Linked DNA regions of Struthio camelus. Each later gene encodes a partner of the first gene's protein in a complex. Links are inferred from orthologs where the notes say so. Each region holds a gene or a part of one and is shown on either strand. Other genes may lie near its edges.

The links.
Region 2: the proteins of PER2 (region 1) and CRY2 are in contact, whole or in part, in a crystal structure (PDB 4U8H), measured with the Mus musculus proteins. The link is inferred for Struthio camelus from reciprocal best matches to the Homo sapiens genes PER2 and CRY2. Residues at the interface, in NP_035196.2 of Mus musculus: Tyr1132, Leu1134, Gln1135, Asp1136, Pro1137, Trp1139, Leu1140, Met1142, Ala1143, Asn1144, Thr1145, Ile1149, Met1150, Met1151, Thr1152, Tyr1153, Gln1154, Leu1155, Arg1158, Asp1159, Leu1160, Val1163, Leu1164, Asp1167, Gln1168, Lys1170, Leu1171, Leu1174, Gln1175, Ser1177; in NP_034093.1 of Mus musculus: Trp58, Ser63, Ser64, Val65, Lys163, Leu166, Thr167, Lys169, Arg170, Glu215, Leu216, Gly217, Phe218, Asn330, Pro331, Ile332, Cys333, Ile334, Gln335, Ile336, Pro337, Asp339, Asn341, Pro342, Glu343, Leu345, Ala346, Lys347, Ala349, Glu350.

The regions. Positions count from the first base shown.
Region 1 is NC_090950.1:9,392,261-9,399,938, forward strand, and holds the start of PER2 (period circadian protein homolog 2), read right to left. Parts: upstream 3,081-7,678; 5' UTR 2,953-3,080; intron 2,734-2,952; exon of another isoform or gene 2,643-2,733; intron 1-2,642. UniProt on the Homo sapiens protein: Transcriptional repressor which forms a core component of the circadian clock.
Region 2 is NC_090946.1:40,414,420-40,422,318, forward strand, and holds the start of CRY2 (cryptochrome-2), read right to left. Parts: upstream 3,030-7,899; 5' UTR 2,973-3,029; coding exon 2,779-2,972; intron 993-2,778; coding exon 884-992; intron 1-883. Other genes in the region: SLC35C1 (GDP-fucose transporter 1), read right to left, coding at 5,115-5,674, 7,667-7,899. UniProt on the Homo sapiens protein: Transcriptional repressor which forms a core component of the circadian clock.

The DNA.
Region 1 (7,678 bases):
TATATTCCCCCAGCAGCCACAGTTGTTACATTAGAGATGTTATGGGGTTCATCCCTGCCTACTCCCTTTAGTGCCCGTTTACTGTAGTCCATAAACTTGTCTATTCTCTTTTCGAACCTGCTGGTATCATCTGGCTCCATACACTCCTGTGACAATAAGCTCTAGCAGTTCACCACCTGCTGTGTGAAGTAGTACTTCCTTCTATCCATTTCATGCAGTACTTAGTTAAACTGAGCGCCCTTAGTTCTAATACTGCTGAATTGGGTGAACGACAGTTTTTGCAACTCAGCTTAAAAACTGCCTTTGTGACTTTTGTAAATCTCAGTCACGTACATCCTCAGCCGTCTCCTCTCAAAATACCTTTTCAATTTCTTCTCGCATGGCTTCAACCGTTGATCATTTTAGTTGCCCTTCTCTAACTTCCCTATGGTCAGATCCAAAGCATTCTCCCTTCTACCTTGAAGTAGACACTTGCATGAAATAGTCAAAAAAAAAAAAAAAAAAAAAAGAGACAGAAACATGACTTTTTTTTTCTTTCACTCTGGGCCAAAGGCTCCATCTTTTGCATTATCTCTTTCTAGGAGGATAAACTGCCTCCCTCAGTCCAGCAACAGTCAAGAACAAGAACCCCACACCTCAGGACAGTGTCATAACCACCAGGCTAACAGCAAACCTTGGATGAATGGAGGACACTGTCCAGTTCTCCAGTAAAATGTCCTCACTGCGCAGAAATAGTACCAGTTTCTGCAAGAACAGGCAAAAAAAGATCACAAGAGCATGCAAACACACACAAACAGAAGCAAGATGGAAGTTGATGTCACAGAGCAATAATGTGGGCCCTTCTCCCTGACCTGAGTCAAATTCTGGGCCCTACTCTTTGTATTCAAGAGCCACTCCATAAAGTGTACAAACAGCACTATGCCCAAGGCATAGTGGACACGGATCACAGACGCATACAGACACTGAGGCACCCTAGAAGATGACAGAAGATGAGTTTCATCAAAGTCAATGCCCAAAAGCCATCTAATACAAAATAGTATCGGTTTCTGGACTAGGGCGACAGGATCAAATCCTCGGTTGCCATGAGTCTGAGGTGCTTCAGTTTTATCATCACCACTACATATTCCAAACTAACTATTTGCATTTAAGTAGATATGCCTCACTGCTACCTTAGCGGTTCCTTTTGGATATTACTTTGGCAACAAGCAAAAGCCAGCTCCAAAAGGTATCTGTAGTTTTGAGAAATGTTAACTAACTTCTGTCATCCATAAACAATCTCTGTGCTTAAAACAATACTGGCAATTTGAAACAGCTTCTCACTGTACTAAAGCAGTTTCTGGTACTACTCTTGACTTGACCAGACAACTTTACTGCCAGAGTCATTACAAGATTTCCACCATTTCCCCATTATTCATAAATATTTTTAAATGGTAGATATTCAGCAAGTCAGATGTACAAGATCGCAAACCTCAGAGTCTTATAAAAAAGAAAAAAAAAGGCAGGCATCTCATAGCCTTAAAAAAACCAACACATTTCTTCAAAATCCATCCTATGCGCTGTATCAGACAAGTTATTGGGAATCACAGGAATACAGTTTCAAAGGCCTTCAGTTTCCAAGTACCAAAGACCTCATAATGACCTCTTTGGGGGGCTTTTTAAGCTCTTGGGGCAAGAAGAATAATGATGCACCCCATCCTAACCCATCACAAAGTCAGTTGAGTAGCGTCAGCTTGACAGTTATCATACAGCTCATCTGTTTGCATGAAACTGTACTTACATAAACTGTTTTGCAATCATGCATGTAATAGCATGCAACTAATGTCAACAGTAGCAAACCACACGGTCTCAAGGAACAAAGTCTGCTTGCAGGTATTATAGGGAACATTTGGAGGAAAAAAAAAAAAAAAAAGCCAACCACATACACACGGTACCAGTTGCTTATTCCATACGTTTCAAGAGCACACTCCGTTTCTGCTACTGCCGTATAGCTCCTCAGGTAGGGGGGGAAAAAATAAACAAAAGACCACCGAGGCAACTGCACAGGGCGCTGCTTCGTCGAGAGGCAAGCGACGGAGTGCCGAGGGGCGGCGAACGCCCACCGGGCCGAGCCTGTCCCGGCTCCCACCCCACGCTCCGCGCGCGCCGGCGACGCCACAGCGGAGCCCGGTGGGGGCCGGTCCCGGGCGGGCGGCGCCGCCGCCGGCCGGGGGGGGGGAAAGGGGGGAGGAGAGGGCGGGACACCGCCTCCGGGCACCCCCGCCCGCCCGCAGGGGGCGGCGTCCCGGCCGCCCCTCGCGCCCGCCGCCTGAGGGGATCGTCCGGGGAGGTGGGGGGGGGGGTCACGGCCACCCCCTCCCCTCGGCCCGCGAGCCCCGAGGAGAGCGGCAGGCGGGGACCCACCGCGCCGCGCCGCCCCGCTCCCGCCGGGAGCCCCCGGCCCGGCCCGGCCCGTCTCCCCGGGCAACCGGAGAACCGCGGGGACTTACGTAACGCCAGCCCGGCGGGAGGGGGAGGGGAGGCGAGCCCCCGTCCCCGTCCTCACGCCGACGCCCCCTCCCCTCCTCCCCGCCGCCACCGCCGCGGGACCCCCCTCCCCCGGCCCGCCGGCCCCGGCCGGGGCGCGGCGAGGGAGCCCGACTCACCGAGCGCCCCGCGTCCACCCGGCCCGGCGCAGCCCGGCACCGACTTCATACAGGCTGAAACGTGACTGAGGCCGGAGAGCCCGCCCCGCCCGGCCGGCTATTGGCCGTCGCCGCGTGACGGCACCCGGGGAAGGGGGCGGGGGCGGCGCGCCAGCCTCGCTGATTGGCCGCGCCGGACGCCGCTCATTTTACATAAGCCTCACGTGTGACACCATGTTTCCACCGGCAGCCGCGATCGTCTGGCCCAGCCAGCCCGCCCGCCCCTCCCCCCGCCCCGGATGCGTCCCCGCCGCCGCCGCGGAGCGCTCACCGCCGCTACCACCGCCGGGCGCCTCGCCGCCTCCTGCCGCTCCGCTCCGCTCCGCCCGCGCGCTGCTCAACGGCCGCCGGACCGCGCGGCTGCCGCCCGCCGAGCAGGGCACAGGTTACATCACGCCTGGGGGGAGGAGGCGCCGCCCCGCCCCTCGCAGCCGCCCGTGACGTCAGCGCGCGGCCCCGCGCCGCGCACGGACCGTTGGCCGCCGGCCGCGCGCGCGAGCTCGGCTCCGTCACCAACGGCCGCGCTCGGGGCGGGGCGGGGCGCGTTGCCGGGGAGCGCCGTACACAGTCCCCAAACAGCGGCCGGCTGCCGCCGCGGGCGCCCCCGGCCCCGCCGGCAGAGAGCCGGAAGCAGCGTTGCGGAGCGGCCTGGCGGGCGGCAGCCGGAGCCTTCAGCGAGGCCGGGCCGGCGGGAGGCGCTGGGCTCTCGCTTACATAAGCGAGGAGCGGCCGGGGTCCGGTTTCCCGGCTGGGCCGCCTCACGCCCTGCGGTTTCGAAACCGAGCCGGCGGAAGCCTTGCCCGGTCACCAGGCAAAGCGCGGCGCCTCTCGCCAGGGCCGTCGGCTCAGCGTCGGTTGGAGCGGCCACAGAAATCGTTAGGGTAGAAGTTGTTGTGGGCCGTTAACAGGTGGGCCCTGCTCGTTTGTGGAGAGCGAGGCCCTGACGGCCTGCTCGCCGGGTGGTTGGCTAGCTCCCATTCCACAGCCGATGTTTATATTTAGTCCAGAAAATTAAGTCTTTTTGCCTTCGGTTCGGACCAGACACGCAGAATATTGGCGTTTTCAGTCTTACTAGGAGAAGAAGAAGAAGAAAGTTGATTTCTTATGACATTCGTCACGCTATTTTTTTTTTCTTTGCGCAGGCCCCTATGCCATCCTAAGCGGTAGTGACAGAGAACGCGAGACTTGTATTGCCGCAGTTCAACAGCGAGCTTACCTGCTGTTGAATAGTTCACTGGCACTGTTCTAGGCCCCATGTCTTCCCAGGCTGAGTGGAGCAATCAGTAGCTGAGAAATCAATGATAATTTAGCCATCTCCTAAACCTCCTTTGTCCTCATAGTCATACTATGAAAGGTGCAGAGGGCACGCCAAAGGTCTGTCAGTCTCTCTGTGAATACTGCAATCTGGTGCAACAGCATTTTTACACTCACTTGGCACGCGTGCGATTACTCCATAAGATGTAAGACAGCAGAGAGCCATCAGGGCCTCCACTGTTTATCTGCAAAATGAGGTTAATGCTGCTTCCCTCCCTCACTGTGGCGTTAGGGCTAAGTCCATTAGGTACATAGATATTTAAGTGACGGCTGTTACAGAAACAGCCTATGAGTAAGATACTGTTGCAGTATTTATCTCCTGGAGAGGGGAGGGAGTGGGGGAGGCGGAAGCATTAGGACCAGTTCCTGCAACTGGATTTGTTGCAATGCACAAGTCAGCTTAGCAGGATCCCATTTTTAGTTTACGCTCCTCTGAAGAGTCTAATTTAGAGACTAATCCTAATTAGATATTCTCTGTGTAGTGTGGTGAACTTACTGCTGTTGCAGCACTGTACGTCCAAAACTACTTCCATCTTGTGTGTTAAGTCCTCGTGGTTTGGAGGAACGTAGAATGACGTTCTTTGGGTTCCATGGGACTGAAAAGATGAATGTTTTTTGCCTCATAGGCCAGAAATACTTAATTTTGTGTGCTAAGGGCATACCTCTAACCACAGGTTCAGCTTCACAAGGCGCTTCAACTGAGGTGAAAGTTTGAACCCACCCTCGTCAGAAGGCACAAACGAGGAGCTGGAAGCAACTCTCGCACTGCACCACAGCTCTGTGAGTCCGCCGAACAAACATTCATCACTGTAGCGGAGCGTGCTAGTTCTAGCAGGTAAACAGTAATCACCATCACCAGAAAAAGCTAGTGTCTTTTTCATACCCTAGTAATTCCCACATTACGTGAGTCCCCTTTATATTAACAGGATATTAACAAAAGTATTTTGGTCAAGCTATATACTTACAGGGAATCATTTTCAAGTTCTATTCCTGCCACTTCTTATTGTTTGCAGCTTTTTTTATTGAGTTATATTAATAACTGGAGAAAACACTGATACTCAAAATATGATTGTGCATCTTTAACCTGTTCAGTCAAAATTTTTGTGTTGTGCCAGTTTTCTAGAAGTTGCAATCATATAAAAATACAAGTTATTCCAAACAATACCAGTATAACATAACAAGTCAGCGACATGACCTCTAGTGCAGTGAATCTACTGCATTGTGTCTACTGACACAATGATTCTTCTGCTAAGAAACAACGCAAAAGAAAGTGATTGCAAAATAGAGCAGGACAAAGTTAGTAGAGAAGCAGTTTGTTTTGGTTTTAAGGCTTGCTCTTTCTAGTGTAGCTATACGTAGCTATATGTAGTGTATCTAGTAGCTATAACAAGGGTTTTACTAGCAGGGTGAATAACATTTTGTGTGCGCACAGACACAATGGAGTATTACAAAATGCATTAAAATGTTTGTGGATTCCTTTCCAGCTTTATTTATTCTTTTGTATCCAGTTGTATCTCTTGGAGCATGTTGAAATAGTTCAGATATAAGGCATGTCCTTTTTATGCATCCATTTATATATCCCTTTCCTACATCCATTTCACCATGTAACATACCACATCTCACACTAACATCTACCCAAAGCAGCTTTTCTTTGAGGAGATGTGGCATTGTCCTTTACTGTATGCTGCTTTAAATTCTACCTGGGGCCACATGTGGTTTCACAAGGCAAATGTCTGCTTGTGTGAAACAGCATGGAAGACAGTGAGCCTTCCTAAGCAGGGTCCATGCATAAGCAGGTAGGTTTGGGCCTTGCCATTTTCTTTACCTGCACAACTGCATTGCCCAAGTTGCACAACTTTAATATCTACTTTTGCAAATGCTACTGAATCGCTTCCTTATCTTGCCTTTTTTCAGTAAAGTAACTTTCTGATATTCCAAAAGATGAATTGGTACAACTAGGCTTTTTTTTTTTTTTTAACTCTAAAGATTTTACTTTAAAAAAAAATCATTTAAAGAGCTCTTTTTGTGACACTCTAGTACTTCCCAATATTATCAGAATTTTCTTTCCCCCTCCCCGCCCCCCCTCCCCCAAAATGCTGGGGCTTTTTGCACCATAGTTAAATTTAGAATTTTTGCTTAATAAAAGCATTTCAATCCACTTGGATAAGTGGCAACATATTGAAAGTATCAGCATTATTTTTTGACAAAAATATAATAAAGTCCTTCAACGTCAAAAGAAAGAATTTGAGACTTTTTGAAAACTATCTAAGGATTGTTTGCTTACGTTTGGTTACCACTTAGGGAAATAGGACTCATCTATTCGAGTAACTATATTTCCTTATCCATTTGACCACTTGCAGCCATTACCCATAATGAATTATATCACAGCATTGATGGAACTCTATACTGTTGGAAAAAAAAAAAAAAATCAATATTTTGCAGCTGGAGCCCACCTCTAATTCTTCATTTCCTAAGCCTGGCTAATTACTCACCATTTACAGTTGATGCTGATATTCATTGATTGTTGCAGAGATCCGGAAAGGCTTCTTTTGCTAATGAACAAAAGGCATCACTGTTACTGTCTATAAAGCTAAAGGATGAGGGAAGAAAGAAAATACTTTCCTCATTACCAGTGAAGCTATGGATAGTTTTTTTTCTAAAAGCATTGTAAAGTGTAGGAATAAAGTATAACAAGCAGAAAAAGAGTAATATCTATACAGTCTTGGAAACTCTTTAATTGGAAGATAAAGTAACATAAGCATGATAAAGACCTCGAACTTGAGCAGCAAGTTTCTGAGACGTGCTAGTCCTTTGCAAAGGCAAGGGTAGTTGGCCCTGGCCAGAAGACCTTTCCTAGTGAGTTCTGGGAAATGTAGTTTTTCATTATGCCCTCATTTTTAATAGTTTTCTAGTTATTTTTATTAGATTCATCTTCTATTGACAACTTCAGTGTAATTTCAGTTTCAGGTGTCTTAAAAAAAATTGGCAAAGGGAAGAGCACTGAGTTGTTCTGTTTTAGACTGACTGGAATGATACAAATGGAAGGGATGTATATCATCAGTGTAACTATATGTGCTGATCCCCAAGTCTCGTACATGAATTCAGTAGCGGAATACAGCTCTCGGCACTCCAGGTCCAGGATCCTGCTGTTTAGTGTGTACTAATAAAGCGTTGTCTGCAGTGAGCCTCATAGAAGGCTGAAGAAAGCAAGGTATCTACCTTGCTACTGAAATTGAATCCACACTGCTAAAAAAAGGTATCTAAGCTTCTTGTACAACTTTTTGCAAGCATTAGTTTGTGCTTTCAAAGTCTATCTAAAGTGATCAAAGACACTACATCCACCAAGTGGAATAACTCTGCCACCTCCACTAGGTTAAAACTAGAGATTATGCAACTGTGCTGTCAGCCAGACTGGGGAACTCATTTGACTGAAAACATCCCACGAAAGAAAAGGGAGTAGGGGAAGACGTTTTCAGTTGGATCCTCTCACAGCTTCATGAGCACTAAAGCCAAAACAAAACAGCATGGAAGGGCCCAGTTTGGTTTGGGTCAAGGGCCAGGACCTATTGATGTCAGCCTACACTACACAGCACTGTAGATTTTGGCACTTTAAATGAAATTTGTGGCAGCTAATACACATCATTAGACTTGCATAAGATAGCTAGTAGGAAATGCTGAACAGA
Region 2 (7,899 bases), on another chromosome or scaffold:
TAAGGGTATGGTGAACCATAATCTCTCATTTAGCTTTGTCACTCTAGTGAAGGGGCTGTCAGAAAGCTTCAAAGACAACAATGAACATAATAGAACAGGTCAGAGAGGAATGAGTCAGAGACTTTTACTGCTTGAGGAATCTTGATATTCAAGGAGATCCTCCTGCCAGCCCTCTCTCTCCCAGTCTGCAGCATTGATCTATCACTTCAGAAACGTATCCCACTAATCCATCTTTGGCCCTGAAGTCACGGCATATTCCACAGTCCTAAAGGGTAGATCTTCAAGATACTTGGACCCAAGCTACATTCTGCTACTGAGCTGACTGAACAGCAACAAAATAAAACAAAACAATGACAAAAACCCCCTGCAGGTCTTGAATGGAAGCAGGAAAGGAAGAACAGATAACATAAAAGCTTCTGAATTTTCAAATTATAACAGAAAGCCTTATTTGCAGCTCACATGTAGAACAGTATGCTTTCTCAGACGTCTGTAAAGGTGTATAGACCTGGCAGTCTTCCTGAGTAGAAGCCGAACACAAAAAATTTCCAGTAGAGAAGAAACTCTCAATACAGGGGAACCGGTGGGTTACAGCACAACCCAGGGAACCTGACTTGCAGAAACAAAGGCAAAGGCCACTGTCCCAAAAGTAAAGTTCAAGCATCCTGATAGTAGGTTACTCCCTACTACTGAACTTCTGTGGAAATCTGAGGGGAAGAGCGTATCTGGCTCCTAAGCTGGCCATTACGGATAGTAGCGAAGTTAAAGAGAAGCTAGGGGACCTCCAAGAACTACCAGATACTAGGGAGTGAAAACAAGAATACCATATAAAGTGGGACATTTGTTTTGCCTGACTATGCTCCATAAAATCAGTATATTCTCTTACTTTAAAGAGTCTTGGGAAGACATCTGTTGGCTGCCCTCGTACCACAAACAAGCGGGAACTGAGTTTCCTTAAACTGTTGTCCAGGTCTTCCAGGGACTGGAGTAGAAACCTGCAGAGAAGAAACAAGAGCAGTTCATGTCGGTCAGATTGGTTACCGCTAAAAGACAAATGAGCAGGATTTACATGGAAATCCAATTAACCTGCACCACCAATCAGTTCTCCAAACAAAAGGTAAAGGACAAGAAATGTAGAAAATAAAAGTTATTCTTCATCCCTGGTCTGTCTACTAACTGTTAAGACTTTGCAGCACCAGCCAGTCCCCAACCATTCACATGCATGTTCTGCTTAGCCAAATGAGAGAGCTCTCCAGGATTTTCTTCTTGCAGTCCCTACCCTTCCTGTGTTTTCTCTCAGAGCTGATACCCCCCCCGTCAGCGGGTCTCTCCACATGGCAGCCATACTTAGAGAACAGTTGCAAACAGAACGGCAATTTATCTTCCATCACGCAGATGAGAGCACGCTAAGATATTTATCTGCTCCCTACTAGCCCAAAGCTGTCAAAAAGCATTTAAGTACTTTATTAACAATATGTCTTCCTGATCCCACACCATGCCGTACGACTTCAAATATATCGTCTTTGCTTTCACAGTATACCAGCGTAACTCTATCTGCATCATCACTTGGCTTCCTTTGTTTTGCCCAAAACTATGAATGATGCCAGCCTTAACTGAACTTTAATCTCTGCAAGAGCATGCGGCAGTGCGTGCAAATCCAGAACCCTTCCTAAGGGAGTCTGCAACCTCTCCCTCTCCCCTACATACTGGCTCTGCAGCCTGACCTGTAAGACAGGAGTATCTGCAGTACCAACTCAAGACCATGCAAAGTTAAGAGGAAAACTAAGCTACAGTTGTCTTGCAGTCTGGGTACTTCCTCTCTGCTCAGCTGCGTTGCTCATAACGTGAATTGCAAGCTTTGTGACAGACAAAGCTCTCTCTGCACTTCCTGAAGGAGAAAGGGACTAAGGTTTCAAGGAAGCAGCACAGTAGTGAAGACCCAGAACCAGGTCTGGGTAATCAAAACAAACCACTCCCCTACCCCCCACTCAGTATTCATCTGTTAAATAGCAATACTGCCTTTCTCTCCACAGTGCTCTGGAAATTGAGCAAGCGTTGCTATTATTTAGCTCACCCATATGCTATGCGGTTAAGCGACAGGTAATTTTTCAACACGATAAATTTCTGGAAGTTAGGTAAAACACAAACACTTGCCTTTGGAGCTCAGACCTCTGAATACCAATTGCAGAATTAAAAAAAATAGCAAAACAAAGCCAAGGCTCCTCTGGGAAACAACGGAGCTCCAGTAAATATAACTAACGTATTTACCCAGCACATTTTTGCCTAACAGCCAGGGGTGCTAGCTTCTGATGCTATTTGCAAAAAGCATACACCTCCAAGAAGACACTTAAAAAATATATATATATAGACATATATACACACGCTTGCATATTTCATGACTGCAACACCAATAAGACCGCTAACTGCTTTTCCACCAGCATCGCGGAGGGAGGGAAGCAAGGACTACACGCAGCAGGGACGCGCCAAGCCTTTGGCGCGCCGCTGTGCTTCCCGCACGCGAGCCCGGCGCCAGCAGGGCAGCAGCAGGCGAAGGCCGCTTCTGCCTGCCGTGCCGTCCGCAAGGGCCCGTCGGGCGGGCAGGCCGCTTCGGGCCCCCGGCGCGTTCGGCAGCCGCGCAGCCCCGGTAACCGGAGCACAGCCCGCCGGGGGCCTGCGCGCCCCTCCCGCTGCCGGCGCGGGCGCCGCTCCCCGCCGCGCGCCCCCGTTACCGCCCGCCGGAGCTGCGGGCCCGGCCCCCCGTGTCGCGACAGGCCCGCTCACCGCCAGCGGTTGATGCCCACGGCGGAGGAGGCGGCGAACCAGGGGTCCAGGATATAGATGCAGCGCACGGCCACGGCGTCCCGCAGCGCCGCCTGCAGCGCCGGGTTGTCGTGGAGCCGCAGCCCGCGGCGGAACCAGTGCACGGAGCGGCACGGGCCGCGCGCCGCCGCCGGGACCGGGGCCGCAGCCGCCATCACTGCTGCTGCTGCTGCCGCCGCCGCCGCCGCCCCCGCCACGGGCAGGACGCGGCGGAGGGCGGGGCCGCACCGTCAAGGGGCGCCGAGGCCCCGGCGCCGCGCTCGGCCGCCCCCCAGCGGCCGCGACGCGGCAGCAACCCGGGGTTGCTGCTCCCCCCTCCCCCGGGCCGCAGTCCCCGCCGCCCCCCACCGCCGGGCGCGGTCCGTCAGCCCCCCCCGGGCAGGGGCAGCTCCTCCCCCGGCCCACCTAGCGCAGGCAGAGCCCGCCTCGGGCGCTCGGGGACGCGGAGAAGCTGCGCTGGCTTAAGCGAGTCAAGTCAGCAGCCAGCCGAGTCCAATCGAAGCCCTCCCCAGCACACACGCAGGAAGAGAGGGGTACCTTATTTGTTCCTTAACGTCTTAAGCAAATTTGACATCTGAAGCCACCCGCGCTTGCAATCTCCTTGTTCCGTTTCCTCGTTCCTTGCTCCAGGAGGCACTATTCCCTTGGCCAGGTGCTGAATAGCTCTTCAGTCAGACAGACCAAGATACCAATCCATTTTTATTCAACAGGTTTGACAATTACAAGTCAGTATTTGCATCATTTTTTTTAAAAAAAAGTCTGTTCTGATAGAAAAACCTCGAGGACCAAAAAGCCCACCCTCCACCACCAAAAAAAGAATGAGAGGAGGCATCCACCAAGGTGGTAAACGTAGTCAAGAAGTGTTGAGCAGGGACCCCTGAAACCAGAAAGAAACACGCTCAGGACAGAAATAAGTGTCCTAGCGTTTCTGTAGCAGTGGTCAGACATCACATAGGGTCCACCCAGCCATGCTACAAAGCAGTCGCACCAACTGCCCAAAATCCCTATTCATATAACCCTTTGAATTAAGGGGCCCAGAGTTTAGAAAGCTGATACAGTATACAATACAGCATGACAACTTATTACAGCATGTCATTGCTTATAAGGATTAGAAATCATGGCTTTAGAGTAGCCTCAGATGGCACTGGCACAAGACCAGATGGGGTGAAGAGTTCTGCAGGATTGCCACTGTTCAGAGGAAGCCTAAATGCAAGTTCCAATTTAAAGTGATTGTTGCAGCTGGGCAGATCTGGGGGGGGGGGGGAGGGGAAGTGGGGGGTTGGCAAAGGATTGACTGAACCAGACGTGGGGGAAAAGGAGGAAAAAAGTTACAAGGAACAAGCCAAAAGACAAACCACAAACACCAGAGGGGGATCAACAGGAGGCATGGCACAAGTCCCCCGAAACTGGCCTAATTAGTAACAACACAGTTGTCAGACACAAACCTCTCCCCTACACAGAGGGGAAAGAGGACAAATGTGAACTCTGTCCTGGGATCTCCACCCTACACAAGTTTTCCCCCCTCCTCCTTTCTAATCCTGAAATAGGAAGACACCTTGCTCCTCTTCAACAAAGGCACACCATTTAAGACAACATGCTCTCCCTCTGCAGAAGAAGGTAGAGAGGGAATTAGAAGTTTGGCCCTGCCTCTTGGACAGTTTCTTGAACTAAGAAACCTGATGTACAGAAACATAGCCACAAGAGACCTCAACAGGAAGAGATGCTGGCTCTTTGGACATGAGATTTAGAGGCACTGCTTCTGCTTAGACTTGTACAGAACTAGAAGGGAGGAAGGTTCCAGTCCTTTGCTTTAAGGTGAGTAATGGGAAGAATTACTCCTGCCAATTCTACTATAGGGGAACACTTCACTGGAGACTGTCCCCGACAGTCTGGCTACCTGCTTCTTCCTTTCATGAAGGTTCAGGATTTCATCATTTCAGACTATGTTAATTCAGTTTGCTGTCATTCTCTATCACCATATACACACAGCTCTCATCCTGTTCTTTGTCCACTGTACCTCCAACCTCCAGAGAAGCAAGTTGTCCAGATTAGGTGAACAGAAACATGCGTTTTAAAAAGAAATCACTGTAACCGATCAGTCTTTCTAAGCCATGCTTTCCCAACTCAGAGACAGGGTGAGATTCAGTGAATAAAATACAGTCCAGACAGGCCTTTGGCTCTGGTTCCTGACACAACTTCTCATACACTTCGCAGGTCAACTTCTTCCTGCTCCCAGCTCCTTTTGCATTGAAGGTTAGCTCCCCAGGCACAGAAGCAGAGGTGCAGGCTAGAGCTGCCTACACACCAGTCTCACTTTTTTCACTGCTTCTGAGAGTAGGTTCCTCTTGTACCTTCCTCATCTCCAGCCCTTTCACCCAGGTATAGGCAAATGAGCCCCCCAGAACCATCAAGTTACTCATCCACCACAGGAAGCTCTTTGTCTCCTCAAAATAGACAACAGCCAGCACTGTTTGGGCACAGGCCTTGGCTGTCCCAGAGACATTGTGGGTGAGCGGGCTAGTGAACTTGATCTGGAGTCCAGTCACATACCCAATGGCAAAGCCAAACACTCCACCCAGCGTCATCATGCCCCAAAAACTGGGGCTCCCCAACTTGTCAAAGTGGTAGAGAGTGCGGAACTCGCCCAGCAGCATCATGAGGGGGAGGAACAGGACACAAGCATTCACATTGTTGTAGAAGGTCAGGCGCCAGATGCTACCATCCACCACAGGCAGCACCTTCTTGGTGTAGATGGCATTGAGTGAGACGCACAGGCTTGCTAAGATCCCAAAGAATATACCAGCCCATGACAGAGTGCCCTCTGCTCCTTCCTGGTCAACACCCAGCCAGAAGCCACCTGCAACCAAACAAATCAGGAACAATCTGAACAACCAGTGAAGGACTCAAAACACATATGGTCAATGATTTATCATCTACCTTACACTGGAAAAGGAAAAAAACCACAACCACAAGCAGAGACAGGCTTAAGGGCTTCATCTTTCTATTATGCAAATCTACAGTGTGTCATGACTAGTGTTCTGGAAGGGTGCTTTTTGTTTGTTTGTTTTTAAGAGCACAGATGTTTTACTGCACAATCATTCAATCTTCAAGAATCTACAGCAATTAGGCAGCAGGAGTTTAGAATTATTCCAAAAAGTCACGAACTAAAGTTAAAGATATTCTTTGTGTACAGATCACTTTCAGAAGGAGATCATGTCATTTTTTTATTGACAAGGAAGTGAATGGGACACACAGGGAGCAAGAAATATTCCTCTCTTGCCACAGGGGGGTGAGGGGGAAGCAGGCCCCACAACCCACCTGGGCTTGCTGCACTGTTATAGGAAGAAAAAAAAAAAAGAGAAATCAGAAGAAGGAAAGACTGTAAAACACGTGGCTGTAACACTAAAAAGCTTTAGCAAAAAAGATCACTAGACAGAAACCGAGTGCAATGTCTTTACCATGTTGAACTTTGAAAGTCGGTGCATTCTTTAACCACCTCTGAAACAGGAACTACAGACTCTGTCTCCACAGGGCAGAGGGAGACTTCCCCTCATCCAGCTCATAAGAAAACCGTAACGGGGAGATCAGCTACTGAAGGAACACTGAAGCCAATTGCATCACTTGCAAAAAAATAAGTACCTGTTTGTCAGATAGGCCCTCCTGTTCACCCCTTCTGTGGGGAAGAGGGTCTCCTAACTCATTTTACTTCAAATCCATCTGCTTGTCTAAGCACTGGAGCAAACACATATCCACCTGGAAATGGACTAAAATAAGAAATTCACTATCCTTGGCATCTGAATGGCCATCAAGTGGAAGGTTGCTTTTGGCATTACTGATGCCTTTGGAATGGAAGACTCATAAGCCGTGCCCTTAAAGCCTACTGCCTTCAAACATCAGAAGCTCTGGTTGTGCAGTAGGCTTGACTGATTAGCTAACCCTTCATCATATGCATTCAGCCTGTCTGAAATGACAGGCTCCATTGTATGGTCACAATACTGTTTAGTTATTAAACACTATTATTGTTATCAAAGCTAATAATGCCAGAATCATTTGAAAGTAAGGAGAAAACAACCAGTCATTTTAAGGCCTCTGTGAAAAAATAATAGCACGTTAAGGTAAGTTAAACTTCAGTGGAGAAGAGCTGACAGTTGCTTAGTGCTCAAAGGGAAGGGAAAAAAACAACAGTCAGAAAAGAGTTATTTCCTCATACGGGCTGTTCCTTACATGTTCTCAACATGCAAGCAAATTGTCCACGGCAGAGCAAAGAAGAGAGCTCTAAAGTTACACTATCTCATCAGGGAGCAGCTGTGTACATGGCAGGAGACTATCAAAGGGAAGGACAGTTTTGCCTAGCTCAGTATTTAGGGGAGTCAGCTCAGTATTTAGGTCTGAGCATAAGGCCAGAACAGCACTACCAAGCCCAAGTGCCCTGCAGGATCACCACTCACTTATGGCTTTGCCTCCCACCAAGGGGTGCGGCACAACATCTGCAAATAAAGGACAGGAAGCTCTCATTAGGCCTGTGGGAGTTTAGCACTCCCTGCTTTGCAGGGATACATACCCCTGAGCGGCTGGAGACTTGAGATGCCAGTGACAACAGCCAGAGAGCAAACAGGGTTCACCCCACAAGACGAAGCAATACAACAGTGTGCTACAACCAACAGAATGAGACACCAGGACCCCAAAACCCTGTTAATCAGGCCTCGCTCCAGTCACCTGCCCAGCCTCAGGGGAAACCCTGCTCCAGCTCTCCGAGGCCGCAGCACTGCTTGCATGGTGGGTCCACACCACACAGGTGCCCGCGGGGCCCCAACGCGACGCAGCCAGGTGCCCTCCCGGCCCTGCTCACCTATAATGGCACCGCAGGCCAGCAGGGCATAGAGCGACGTGGTCTGCTTGAGGAGCAGGTAGGAGAGCAGCACGTTGAAGACGGTGGTGAGCGAGCGCCCCACGTTGTAGAAGGCCACGCCGACGTACTTGAGGCAGAGGTTGTTGGAGGTGATCATGCCGATGAAGACGGCGGAGAGGGGCAGGACACTGCGGGACACCTTGGGGTCGAGGCGGAGGGCGGGCAGGCCGGGG